2 linked regions of the Lytechinus pictus genome follow. The protein of the gene in region 1 binds, or shares a complex with, the protein of each later gene. Links are inferred from orthologs where the notes say so. Each region holds a gene or a part of one and is shown in the gene's direction. Other genes may lie near its edges.

The links. The genes of interacting proteins can lie anywhere in the genome.
Region 2: mediator of RNA polymerase II transcription subunit 19-like (region 1) and mediator of RNA polymerase II transcription subunit 20-like share a complex: the UniProt entries of both Drosophila melanogaster proteins name them as parts of the mediator complex. The link is inferred for Lytechinus pictus from reciprocal best matches to the Drosophila melanogaster genes MED19 and MED20.

The regions. Positions count from the first base shown.
Region 1 is NC_087246.1:20,716,624-20,723,880, forward strand, and holds the start of mediator of RNA polymerase II transcription subunit 19-like, read left to right. Parts: upstream 1-4,257; 5' UTR 4,258-4,303; coding exon 4,304-4,478; intron 4,479-7,257. UniProt on the Drosophila melanogaster protein: Component of the Mediator complex, a coactivator involved in the regulated transcription of nearly all RNA polymerase II-dependent genes.
Region 2 is NC_087247.1:67,256,362-67,263,894, reverse strand, and holds the start of mediator of RNA polymerase II transcription subunit 20-like, read left to right. Parts: upstream 1-4,508; 5' UTR 4,509-4,530; coding exon 4,531-4,667; exon of another isoform or gene 4,668-5,077; coding exon of another isoform or gene 5,078-5,208; intron 5,209-7,533. UniProt on the Drosophila melanogaster protein: Component of the Mediator complex, a coactivator involved in the regulated transcription of nearly all RNA polymerase II-dependent genes.

The DNA.
Region 1 (7,257 bases):
ATATGCACACTGATGTTTATTTAATGTAATAAAATGCATTATGAGATTCATAATTATATGATGAGCATATTTAAACAGTTATCAATAAAAAATTAAATCAACCAAATATTACGTTCGAACAGGAACTCCAAGATGAAGGTTTTCTATGTCTTCCTCGCTCTCGCGGTCGTCGTCGCCTCCGTTGTCGCCATGGAGGAGGAGGAGAACGAGCTCTTCGATCTGATGGACAAGCGATCGATGGAGGAAGGAGATCTCTTGGAAGAGATGGCCTATGGAAGCGAGCCAATGGTGAAGAGAGGACGATTCAAATGTGAGTAAAAAATAAAATAATAGGATACATAGTAAAAACTTTGTTTAATTTTTTTAATGCATTTTTGTTTACTATCAACCTTACAGTATATGTTGTTTAAACAGTTTTTTTTAACTGTTGTAGTTCTGTTCAATTACTGCAACATGCCGTTTTGATATTTTTTCAAATTTCATTTTTATAATTTAATTTACAATTCCTACACTCGTTTGATATATAATGCATTTTGTTTATAATTTCAGACTGCAAGAATTCCAACGGTGATAACTGTGTCTGTGATCGCAAGTACAGACGTAACAGTAGAAGACGTTATGTCAACTGCAGACCAGCCAACACAGGAACACCCGTTTAAAATTCAAACAACAGACAGGCACCTTTGTATTATGGATGGATAATTAATTCAGATGAGGTATGAAAAAAACATTGTACTAATTTAATTGCCTGAAAATAGGGGGAAATAAAGGCATTTCAGTCGTTGTAGTTGTTAACCATGCATCCAACTTAAAATCCAAACAATATAGACGAAGCATCTCAGTTCGGACTTATTTCTACAGAGATATATTCATGTTTAAAGGACAAGTCCACCCCAAAAAAAAGTTGATTTGAATAAAAAGAGAAAAATTCAACAAGTACAACAGTGAAAATTTCATCAAAATCGGATGTAAAATAAGAAAGTTATAACACTTTAAAGTTTCGCTTAATTTCACAAAACAGTTATATGCACAACTCAGTGACATGCAAATGAGAGAGTCGATGATGTCCATCACTCACTTTTATTTTGTTTTTTATTGTTTGAATTATACATTACTTCAATGTTTACCAATTTCACATAAAGGACCAACTTAACAGAACCATAAGATGTAGTAGCAATGGTAATACCACATGTTCAGGGAGGAATAAAACTTCATTTCGCAAGACAATGAGGAGAATATTAGAATAATTCATATTTCATATTTTTTTTCAGTTCAGTTCAGTTCATTTATTCATTTCTAAAAAATTCAACGAGTACAGATATATATACATAAAAATCAACTTTTTGCTGGGATGGACTTGTCCTTTAATGTGTAATGCCATTTTTTTTTGTCTGTGAATCAAAATGATGATTCACAATTTGTACACTGTTGTTTATTCTAAGTAACTGTTCTGCAATTGCAAGGGATGCATGCTATGCAATTTTGTTTATTACTTTTTCTGTAGAAATGATTAAAAGAATTCGAATTTAAATTCAAAATCATTCATTATATTTACCTTTATATAAGTATAATATTATATCTGATTTTGTGTTGCAATAAATATGGTCATGTTTACTTTTTTTAATAAATTATAGAGCATTCTATCCGGCGGTTTCATTATACTTGAGGTTGCATGGTTCCAAGTCCAGTCGAGTCACACAAAATGTTATGGAAAATAAAATTTTCTCCAAAATAAGATAACTAACCAATCCCGGACTTCCCTCCTATTTTAGCTAAATACTGATTTTGCACTCTGCAAATAAATTTATGATAACAAGATATTATTACTCTCTTAAGTATATACTGTTTCTAATCTTTTGCTGTACGTTGCACATGAATTGACGACGAGCTTGTTTTGTTCTTTGTTTACAGTCCACAACTCTCCTCAAGAAATCTATACTGGTCGTCAAACATCATCTCATTGTTCTCCAGGCAAGCCAGTGAGCAAATTTCGCAGAAAAGATGGAAAACAACATTTTTACTGTTGATGTACAATAAACACCCTGCTCAAGTCATCTCATGTGCACCTAGAGTGTCAATATTTCAGTATTTTGTGTAATATGATGAGTAAAGAGGATGAGGGGGAGATCGATAGATAGATAGAAAAAGAGGGAGAGAGGGGGAGGGAGAGGGAGAGAGAGAGAGAGGGGGGGGGGGGGCTCTCGAGAGAATATGTGCCGTGATAAAATTATCTTCGGAAAGAACTAAAGATGTCAAAACGGTGTTGAAAAATAATTACGCCAATAAGACATTACCTCCTCTTTCCAAATTTAATTGACCCTTAAATTATTAATTCCATGTGGAGCTTGTTCGGTTAGAGTGAGTATTTTCACTATTTGGGTGGAAATCTGTCATATTCATAATTTTGTTTAAAATAAGTTTCAAGATTTTAGCTAATATCTCAAGTTTCAAAAATTGTATTTTGATATGTAACTCATAATGCGAACGTATCGCGAGCTAATTTCTTTTTTATTGTTGCAAGCATAGTACAACACGGAGCTCACAATATTCATGATATTGGGCTAAAAAATCTAATTATGATCTGTAAATGGAATATTCCATTTGATGACATAATGATCGATGTGGGAATATTGTAGAAATTTATGAATACGACATGGATTTCACTAAAGTCTAAACAAATAATACGAGCAAGAAGATATTTAAACTAACCCCAGTAATTTGAGGGGGCATATAGGCCCTATGGGCCCTATGCTAAAGTAAGCCGGTAAGTCATATATATATAGAGCTTATATCCCTATAGTACAGTATCTCATCACTAAAATGATAGATATGCCAGCGCGAAGCCGCGGTTTCTATATCATGAACAGAACACATTTGTCACAAAGAAATCATTATGCATGCATGAGAACGCGAGCGTGCGAGGTGAAATTTTTATTAACTGCATGATCTGAAAATGGGATGTAAACAATGTTGAACATGAACTAAAAATGTGATGCGAGCACGTCGACTTTTCTCATAATAAACCCGACAGGGGAGCATTTTATTAATTATTAAGAGAGCAATGCTAGTTTGTTAAGAAAATCAAGCCAAAAAAGCAAAAAAACCCGTTTCATTCTAATATGAAAATGATTTTGGTCAGAAAAAATTGACTAGTAAAAAAGGTTTTCTCTCCAAAATGAAGGCTGCTTCGGCAGCTTCAGCACCCCCACTTCCCAGGGCAATGAGCCGTGGCCCTCCGATCAGAATTATCGAAGCCACATTGCTTTCTGCAAACATGTCTGATCAGGGGCCCGTTGCCAGCTAGGAGATTTAATATAACAATTAGAAAAATATCATTAAAAAATACACATGTTTTGAAAGTTATTCAAATCAATATGAATAATAATATTTTTTTTTACATTCCCCCTCTATTAAAAATTCATGACATCATAACAAAGGTATAAGTACATTTGAACTTAATATTTTCATAAATTTTACATTGTCATAGGTTATTTTTTTCATAAAAGAAATGTATATACTTAAATGAATAATAAACGGGCCCGGTTTATTAATTATACAGTGCGTCCCACAAAAAACGAAACCGAGATTTATTCAATGATTTATGGCCTACCATTGTAAAGCTTAGAATTTCCTCTTTCATCTGGAATTACTTAGATTATTTAGATTATTATGAAATTATGGAAATACTAGCATTGTTTCGAGAAAACATAACTTTTTTACTTCTGAATCATTTTTGTGAATAAGGTATCAAAAAAAAAGAGCAGATATTGAACTTTTTAGGCATGTGATTTTCTTTTTGAAATTCAGATACCCCCCGCCAAATGAGTTGTTGGTATCCTTTCTTCAAATTGTTTTTGCTCACTCATGCGTGAATGAGGAATAATGTAAATAATATCAGATGAAAGAGGAGATTCTAAGCTGCTATGCTTTACATTGATAGGTCATTTGTCTATTGCAGGGGCCGCAGAACCGGGGGGGGGCTTCACCCCCCCCCCACTTTTTTCCAAACCGTGTACAAAAATGTAAAAATGACCATATGATTGTGATTTTTAGCATGGTCAGCCCCCCCCCCCACTTTTGGCTCAGCCCCCCCCCCCCCCCCACTTTGAAAACCGTTCCGCGGCCCCTGTATTGTATTTATGATTAAGTTATGATAAATCATCGCTAAATCTCGGTTTCGTTTTTTGTGGGACGCACTGTATATAGGCACTATCAATAACCATTAATTAATGGTTCTGTCTCCAATAATGTTACAGCGCCCTCTCTTGTTTTCTAGGCAGACCAAATTGGTGAAAAAGAAAAGATGTCGCTTTTCAAGCGAAGTCCCTCCGACTCTTCTTCAAACTACGGAGGCATTCCTCCAAAAATGCCGACACCGATTCGTCAGAGATCTCCAATGCCAACGAAACAATTCCTGAGTCCACCTAGCGTTGATCCAGAACCGTTTTATCTGCTGAAAGACCCACCACTATCCAATGGTAAGTCGGAAAAAAAATAAACAGACCCACCCGTATAAAATGATGTTATGTTGTAGCCTAACTAGACAACTTGAAGTTGTATGGCAGTGTATCCTATTGCCGGACACCTTTATTTCAGTGCTTTAAAAATGACAACTAGAGGAAATACAATCAAGAAAAAATCACATTTGCTATTCCAAATATTATGAAAATTATGAATATGATAAAATTATTTTATATTTACCAACCATTTTCTTTGCATCGCAGTTGCCGCATACCCCTCCACGAAAAACAATTATTTTCGTGCGCGACAAATTACATCATGATTCCGGACGCGTGCCGGACGGGTAAAGATATCTTTGATTATAATGATGTAAGAACAAATTTGTGTGATTTTTTTCTTCTTATATCATATGAGTAAATTCTAAGTTTTTATTTGCTTTTTATATCGAATCTGAGCAGATGTTGGTAATAAATTCGTGTTTGATAACTTATTTTATTTTTTCTTGTTAGCTGCATGTTCCATGGCACTTTCCAATAATATATGCTCGCGTTCGTATCGTGACGCTCGTCAAGTTCTATCGATGCGCTGCCGATCGACGGCTCTACTCACGGTAAACCTCGCGCACGGGTACCTTGAGAACTAGCCGTCGACGGTCACCCACAATATACCACACCTCATCATTCGATCGAAGGAGTGGACGAGATTGAAATTCGGCAAATCAGGCCCATATTTCCGTTAGAAAATATGTCAATCGTTAATGTAAAACTATGTTATATGCACTTGTTCACTGCAACCATCCTGCCTGTGGAGAATCTACAGGTAGGACTATGGCATGCCAATGCTGTACACAGCACACACTTTAAAAAATGATTAAAATATCACTTTTGTGACCAAAATTACTAATTTCCATACAGTTGCAATTTATTTTTCATTAGTAACTTGGGAATAATTTTTGTATTCACTAGAGCGCTCAAAAACTTGAATTTTGGGCATATTTTTGTGTACGCCCTCTATTGATAGAAAATAATATGGCAAGAAAATTTTCATTTTTTAATCTCTATTTTTAATTAAGAAAAAATAATTTAAAGAATCAAATTTACTTAAGGGCCAAGTTGTATGACGAATAACTGTGATGGAAACTGTCAGTGTAAAAAAAATCAAGCATTTTTCCCAAAGAAAAAGAGAAAATAAGCCAAACATTGCCATCCTTATTTTGCCACACATGGAGATATAACTGAGAACAAGGTTATATCATAACCTTGTTCATTGAATGAGTGGTTATATGATATTTTAAGCATTTTCTGTCATTTTAGAGATAATAAGGTAAAAGTTGGATTTTTTTCGCCTTGTTTTTGCAATCTTGTTCCATGTATTGCTCTGTGAAATTGAATTGCGGAAGTCATACGGTATGAAATTGTTTTCGAACGCAGTAATATGCGCGTCCGGAATCATAATGTGTCCGGTAATACAATACGTGACTATATGATGGGGTGTCCAAACTTCGCGGACTTTTCAAAAATATTCTTCAGGCTTAATTTTGTTCACAAAATATTCACAATTTATACAAAACCAATTCAAGAAATAGTTGACGGCAGGATCATTAATTATAAAATCATTGATGAAAATGTGAAGTAGGTCAAGACAAGGGCAGGCCAAGCAAGGCCGGGTTTCGCCGGTATCGCGATTTCTCAAAATTCCATTCCCATCGACGAATGTGCGCTGTGCTGGAAAACCGCTGACGACAAAATGCCATAGAATCAGTCACTACCACATTTAACTCACATTTTTGATAATATCTGCTTGCAAAATGATGATATCGTGATGCTTGTTGAGAATATCAGATTTTTTCGGAACGGGCGCTAACGGTGACAAATTTGCCGATCTTTTGTCAATATTTTCATGAATACTGAACTCATCCTAAAAAAAATTACGCCACAGGGTAATTTTAAGTCGCTTTTCACGTTGATGATGTCAGATTTTAAGAATATTGTCTAGTTTTCTAGATAATGACCGTCCGCGAAGTATGGACACACGCAAAGTTTGGACTCACTGCCATACGTTGTCGTTGTAGACAGTATGAAGAAGAGGGGGGGTCACCCCACTCACACTAGTACGAGGTTAGTTACCTCAAGCGATGTTCCTGCAGGCTCCACTTCACTACCGCTACACTTACCCGAACATCGAGCCCGTGAACTCGCTCTGATATTCCGAGTGACCGTTTGCGTTTGACAAAGTCAAAGGTGGGATTTTATGGGGGGAAAATATAAAATTCATGCAACATCACGATCTTTAAAAACAATTAAAACTAATATTCTTACTTTACAAAAAGTTTCACTGCTTTTCCATGCTTCTATCAGTCTCAAAATTGGTGATCTAGAGCCAACATAGAGTTCCTCACACGTATTAATAATTCGCTGCCGATTTCAAGACATCGCATGCGCGTGCGTGAGGGTCTGAGCTCGGACCCTCGCTCATGCGCATGCCAGGAAGCCTATTGATTTGGAGGTCAAAAGGTCAAAGATCAAGGTCACAGTGACATGTTTTCATCTTACCCTTCTGAAGTCCTTGTAAACGCGATAACTTCAGTTGAACTTAACCTAGGCTCATATAATTTGGTGTGTATGATACTAGGATGGATCCCAGGAAGCCTATTGATGTTGAGGTCAAATGTCAAGATCACAGTGACATATTTTCATCCTCCCCTCCTGCAGTCCTTGTAAACGTGATAACTTCAGTTGAACTTAACCTAGGCTCATATAATTTGGTTTGTATATTAGCATGGATCCCAGGAAGCCT
Region 2 (7,533 bases), on another chromosome or scaffold:
GTCATCCTTGCACAAGGGCCATTCTAATCTTCCTTGCTTTTTATTATTTCATACTTAACAATGTATAAAAAATCGAGTGAGACTTCAAAGATCCTGAAATTTCATGAAATAAAAGACTTTACACAGTCAAGTTCATGTTGATGAAATTCGTTTTCTTTCTACTTTTCATCGATTTGTACTCTTGGTAATCTTCGTGAAAATTGTTACGTTATTGGGATTGTTATCATTATTGTTTACTATGATTATAGTGATATTGATAATGAAATTATAACGTGCACTATCACAATCCTCTCCCTCTTTTCTTCAATATCATACCATAATTATCATCACCGCCTCTCATATTGCAAATGACTGCAGGAACTCAAGTTGCATAGCGCTATCTCTCGTTGATAACGTTATAAAAATCTTATTTCTAAATAATGACTTGTTTGAAATAAGATGAACATCTCTAAAATGAATAGCTAATCCATATCTAATCACTTCTGATCTATCGATTTTAGCACACTTGTTAAATTTTATTTGTTTATTTATTTATTTTATTTATTTTGTTTTATTTATTTTATACTGCAGGGTAGGCCTGTTCAGTTCTTAAAACTGCTTTACAAAGGCGCCCTGCAGTTTAAAATACATGTCAAGATAACTATGAACAACAACAACAAACAACATCAAAAATACAAAATACAAAATATCTAACATCAGAAACAATTAACACCAAAATATAGAGTGGGAAGTGACAATTTAAACATACATAGCATTGTAAATCAAAGGAATATCATTTCGCTCTTTATCAATTCGTATGAAAGGCTTTGCATAATTTTTTTAAAAACTAACAAGGAGGTACAAACTTGTAAATTTGAAGGAAGTGCATTAAATAATTTGGGTCCGACATATGCGAAAGATTTTCTTTTATGTTCAATTCTAGCTTTGGGAAGCTGAAGGGGGCATCGTAAAGAATACCGTGTCCTGTATTTCACGGGCCGTTTACATACTAAAGGTTTTAAATAATTTGGAACTAAATCATTCATTATTTTATATACAAGAACACAATACTGATATTTTATACGCTGATCTACTGATTGCCACTTCAGTGACTGCAACAAAGAAATTTGTGATGTATTATAATCTTTTTTCAAAAGCATTCTGGCATATTTATTTTGAAGTTTTTGTATCTTATCTAAATGTATTTTTGCACTGCTTCCCCAAGATGTAATACAGTAATCAATGTAAGGTAAAACCATAGAAAAGTACAGCTTCTTCATAATATCAAAGGACAGTAAGTGCTTAATCCGCCTTCCACAACCTATATTGCCCGAGATATTTTACAAACGATATTAGTAATATGTTCGCACCAAGTCAAGCCCGGATCGAGCATGACACCTAAGTATTTAATCTTTTTTACATTTTCTAATTGTATGTTTCTGAATTTCACTGACAAATGAGCACCCCTCAACTTTTTCTTTTGACCAAATACCATGGCTTTTGTTTTTTGCGGGTGTAAATGCATATTATTTAAGTCTAGCCAAGTCTAATCCAAAGATGATATAGCGCCATCTGTATAAACATTAAGCAGTAGATAATATTTGTTTCCTTTCATTTAAATCTATCACAAAGGGAATATGGTTTACTAAATTTCACCTTATTTGTTTCATTTTCGCAAGTTAACATTTCATTTCGTTTATTTCCATTTTCAACAATTACAGTTTATTTTGTACATTTTGACATACAAATAACGAAACATATTTCAAGTATCCCAGTACAAAAATTATATTCAATTTCATTACATATCAAGTTGGAAATGGAGGAGGCTGCTAAAAAGCGGAGCTCGTAGAGTGCAGCCTCCTAATAAATATTTTTCTAGTTACATAGCATCATCAAAATAACAACTTGAGCATTAACCAGTTAAATTAAAAAGAAATAGGGGGAAATTAAAATAGAAAAGGAAATAAGAAAAAGAGATATTAAAGGTCTCCAGAATCCAGCATCAACAGGAAAACGAAAGAGATGGAAAAGTGTACGTCACACGATAATCATGTTTGATTAAAAAAATACAAGAGTTTGAGTGATGAAGAGTTAATTCAATGGTTATCTTGGATAATTTTTTAGAACTTATATTTGAAAGAATTTAGGCTTGGTGATTCTTTGATGTTATTATTAATAGTTCCCCAGAGTCTAGGGCCTTCAAAAGTAAAAATTGATTTTGCAAGGATGGTCCGGGGTAGTGGTAAATGGAATTCATCTGATTGACGTGTGGGATATTTGTGAAGAGTTTTGCTAAATGAAGAATTAGATATGGGTGGTAACATATTATTGTTTAACTGATACATGAATTAGTGAATTGTCGGATGATCTAATACTATACATGGTCTACTTATCAGTTCGTCCAACTTCACATAGTCTAAACTCATTTCGTCTACAACCAGTTCGTCTAATTCCCACTTGGTCTAATATCCAATTCGTCTAATTTCCATTTGGGCTAATAACCAGTTGGGCTAATTTCCACTTGGTCTAATATCCAATTCGTCTAATTCCCACTTGGTCTAATATCCAATTCGTCTAATGAGCAGTTGGGCTAAAACCATTTAGTCTAATTTCCAGTTGGTCTAGCACCACTTGGTCTAATTTCCACTTCGGCTAATTTACACTTGGTCTAATTATCATTTTGTCTAATTGCCACATGGTCTAATGACCGTTTGGTCTAATTTCCACTTGGTGTAATTTCCATTTAGTCTAATTTCCACTTGGTCTAATATCCAATTCGTCTAATTCCCACTTAATCTAATAGCCAAATGGTCTAATGACCACTTGGTCTAATCGCCAATTGGTCTAATGACCAGTTGGGCTAATCGTCACTTGGTCTAATTTTCATTTGGTCTAATTCACACTTGGTCTATAATGTCCATTTATTATAATATAGCATCATTCATTATTATTCATTCTATCTAGAATTAGCAAATATGGTACGTAATGGATAAATACCATCCATCAGTTAATACATATCGCCAGGATCCGGAGGGGTAGAGCCGGGGTAGGGCTGGTGGGTGCAAAACCTCACCGTGAAGGACTATCAATGATGAGATAGTCGCTCATCAAAGGAATTATTCTAATCAAATAATTCTTATAATTAGGCCTGTATATCGATTATAAGATGATGAAAATTAAATCATACTCATAATCATTACATCACCGCATGCACATTTACAGAACAATAAGTTGGGGACCTTGTAGCTTATAATGGTCGAATGGCGGGGTTTCATCAGAATAAAATTATTATGAAGAAAGGAACGAAAATATAATGTAATTGATTGTGTGGATACGTATCTGGTAAACATGTTTATGCCTCTTTTAAATCATTGTGATGCACCATTACGGACGATACTTGAACTTGATGGCCTATAGTTATGCAGTTTGGGGGATTCCAAAACTACAAAGCCATTAGATCATGTAATTTTGTATCATGTAAATCTTTAATCTCTTTACAATAGGCCTACATGTACCGGTATATTAATAGTCATCTAAGACGAAGGAGAAGTTGTACACTATGCTGGTTAAGCCTCATCTTAACTACTGTATATGCGTCTTCAGTTTGGGATCCTTACACAACTACAAACATAACAAATCTCGAAAGGGTCCAGAATGCAGCAGCTAGGTTCACCACCAACACTTATGGGCAAGACTCAAGTGTTACTGCTCTGAAGGACTCCTTGGGTTGGATCCCCCTCCAAGAGGAAAGACAGGGTTCCCGAATCACCAGTTCATTCAAGATGATCCATGGTTTAATGGACGTCAACTGCAAGGAATACATCTCTCTGAAGGAAAATCGAGCAAGACGGGGTCATGATCAACAATTCTACATCAAACATGTCAGAACAGATACACATGCAAACTAATTTTTTTCCGAGGACTGTCAAAGACTGGAACCATCTCCCCTCCTCAGTTATATCCCAACCATCCTTAGGAACCTTTAAGCCAGCACTCCAAAAAACCTTGAAAACCGGAACCTTAAGTTGGTGACCGTACACGACACACCTCCAGTTTAAACACCTTTATGGCGTCTTTTGGAGGATTCCTACCAAGTACCAAGTATATGATCTATGTATGCAATACCAGTACTTAGCGTCTTATTAGCAGGTTACCCTTCTCAGTTTGTGTGTACATGTGTGTGTTTTTAGGGAGGGGCAGTACGGGCCTGGGAACCACAAAAAAAAGAAAAAGGTTTCACTACAAAACCCTAAAAAATAACCCAAATAAGGTCTCGTTATGGTCCCAAGAAATTTGACAAGCAAAAAAAAAAAGAAAAAGAAAAAGAAAAAAAAAGGGGGGGGGGGTCACTAAAAATAGGTCCTTTAGGTTGAATTCACAAATTTTCCACATTTACTAGAATTCCAGGGGGTGCTGCATTTAGGAATTAGATAGTTTTCGCATTTATAACGGGGAAACTCTCTACAACGCATAGATTCCTTTGAAAATGCAATTAAAATCACAATGGAGAGCTTCTATATAGGCATTTGTGGAAAGTTGGTGGACTGGGACATGACAGCAGATATGCCGATCATCCGAAGATTTGCGCACCGGACCAACAATTGCAAATTTGTCGTTGATAAGATATTTCGGCGCGCTTCCAAAATACAAAAGGAGAAAAGCTGTTTTGTCATAATGGGAGTAACGTGGTATGTTTTTTGTTGTTGCAATCTTAATAGTTCAAATGAGCCATTGATATTGGGCATGCCTGATATTGCTTTCAACTATCATTTTCACTTTATGAAAGAATTGTGATTAGACCTATCACCTGTAGATGCCCAAGCGGCAAGGACAGGTAGGCCTAGTCGATCGTACGACGTATATTTTGGGTCAGTGTCGCTAAACTAACTTACATGTGCCCATATACTGAATTTCGTGATGTGTGACTGTTAGTGTTGGCGTTGACAGAGCTGAGACTGTCATAGACAGCTGGCAGCCGTCTGTTTCGAGGAGTTTTTTAACTTTTTTTTGTTTGGTGAGTGAAGCCAACGGAGTTCAGCTGAACAACCAACATAACAGAGACCGAAGCTTTAAAGTTTTGGTCTAAGACTGTCACTGCATGTGTCATAGAAGCCATAGAAGTCGTGTGTTGTGGACACCAGAAGTGAGATCCTCGCACTCGCGACCCACTAGTCAGAAATCCACTGCCAAACGCGGTTCATGGTGCGAGGTACTAACCTCGCAATATGTGTGAGTGTCACTGTGTCAGTGTCGCTTTACTTGCTGCATGGTTTTCTTGTGACATCTTCATTAAATTTTAGTGATAGTTATCGTACATCAAGATTTCTTTAATTTTTCAGAGCAATTATGGCCTTATCCTGAAATAAGTCGCCTCTATTCTCGTATGTGTGCGCAGGTTGTGTACAATTTCTACGAAGGTCGAAGTAAAACTCAAGACAAAGTCAAGACAATTGGAGATGAAACTTAAAAGAAGTCACCGCCATTGACGAAATGAACGGCAGTGAATGGAGTGGACTGGTGACTTAAACCAGGATAATGCCGCAATTATCTTATTCATTGGCCAATAATAAGCTTTATCGTGAAAATTTTCAGGCTCTCTTCTCGACCTCGTGTGTCGGTGTGTGTGCACTCGTTGTGCACAAAGACAATGGGAGTGGAATGAAGTCGCCAGCGCTGACGAAATAAATGGCAGTGAATCATGGACTGGTGACTTAAACCAGGATAATGTCATGGAAGTCTATAATATTTTGATTACATCTAGACCTCATTGTTTCAAAATTTGATGTCAAAACTGGTGATTTAATTCTATTCCAAACTGGCTTCAAGACTCTTGACTTTTAATCAACTCATTCATCATGTTCATTGTTTAATATAAATCCTTTGGCTTTGTCACTTTTATCTCCATGTAAGCACGACTTTAATCTAAGCCCATAATTCATTTCAATTTAGAATTTTCTCTTCAATAGAATAATTTATTAATTATTGTACCAAGTAAAATAATGTGCTATCTTCTTGACCATTTTTCTTGGCTTTTTTTTAGAAAACAATGACAATGTTTTTGCCTCTTTCCATCACTTTAAAAAGAAAAAGAAATGCCCTTTAGAATAAATTTTGTGTAATTTTCAAAGACAGTGTATGACATTTTTTCTTCCTCTACATGTGCTAGTTTGGTAATGAATCAATCGATCAATGACTAATATCATAGTGGTGTTGTGGCTCAGTGAATAAGCCTCCGGACTTGGACCCACAAGGTCTGGGGTTCGAATCCCACGGCAGGACTCTCGTCCTTTGGCAAGGCGTTACGTACATTTGCATCTTTCCAACCAGGTGTATAGCAGTGTATCCTATTGCCAGACACCTTTATTTCAGTGCTTTAAACATGACAACTAGAGGAAATACAATCAGGAAAAATTTGCACTTGCTTTTCCAAATATGGAAATTATGAATATGTTAAAATTATTTTATATTTACCAACCGTTTTCTTTGCATCGCACTTACCGCATACCCCTCCACGAAAAACAATTTTTGTGCGTTACAAATTACATCATATTCCGGAAACGCGCTGATGGGTAAAGATATTCTTGATTATAATGATGTAAGAAAGAATTGGTGTGAATTTTTCTTCATATATCATATCATTAGTAAATTCTTATTTGTTCGCTTTTTTATATTGAATCTCAGCAGATGTTAGTAAACAATACGTGTTTGCTAACTAATTTTATTTTGTTGTCTTTTTAACTGCATGTTCCATGCCCCCATGGCACTTTCCAATGTTATGCTCGTTCTTATCGTGACGCTCATCAAGTTCTATTGATGCGCTGATGATTGTCGACGGCTCTTATCATGGTAAACCTCGCTCACGGGTACCTTGAGAACTAGCCGTCGACGATCACCCACAATGTATACATGCCACACCTCAACATTCGATCGAAGGAGCGGACGTGATTGAAATTCGGCAATTCAGGCCCATATTACCATCAGAAAATCTATCAATTGTTAATGCAAAACTATGTCATATGATATTTTAAGCATTTTCTCTCATTTTAGAGTTAAATACCGGTAAGGTAAAAGCTGGATATATTCGCCTTGTTTTTGCAATCTTGTTCTATGTATTCTGTGAAATTGAACTGCGGAAGTCCTAGGTACAAAGTTGTTTTCATATGCACTAATATGCACGTCCAGAATCATGAAAGTGTCCAGTAATACGATACATGACTATAGTACGTGGGTAGGTAGTAGAAAGAAATTCCTTGAATGCTTGAGCGCTTGATACGAGTAGCCGTGCTAATTCGGGTAATAGTATAACAAACTTAGAAACATTGTATTATTAAGTGCTAGAAATGTTGCATAGATTATTATTATTGTGAATTTTAAGAAAGTTTGTACAGTAGTAGACTATTTACAGAATCCTGAGGTCATTGTGGTTTCCTAAAAGGACAAGTCCACCCCAACAAAAAGTTGATTTGAATAAAAAGAGACAAATCTAACAAGTATAACACTGAAAATGTCATCAAAATCGGATGTAAAATTAGAAAGTTATGACATTTTGAACTT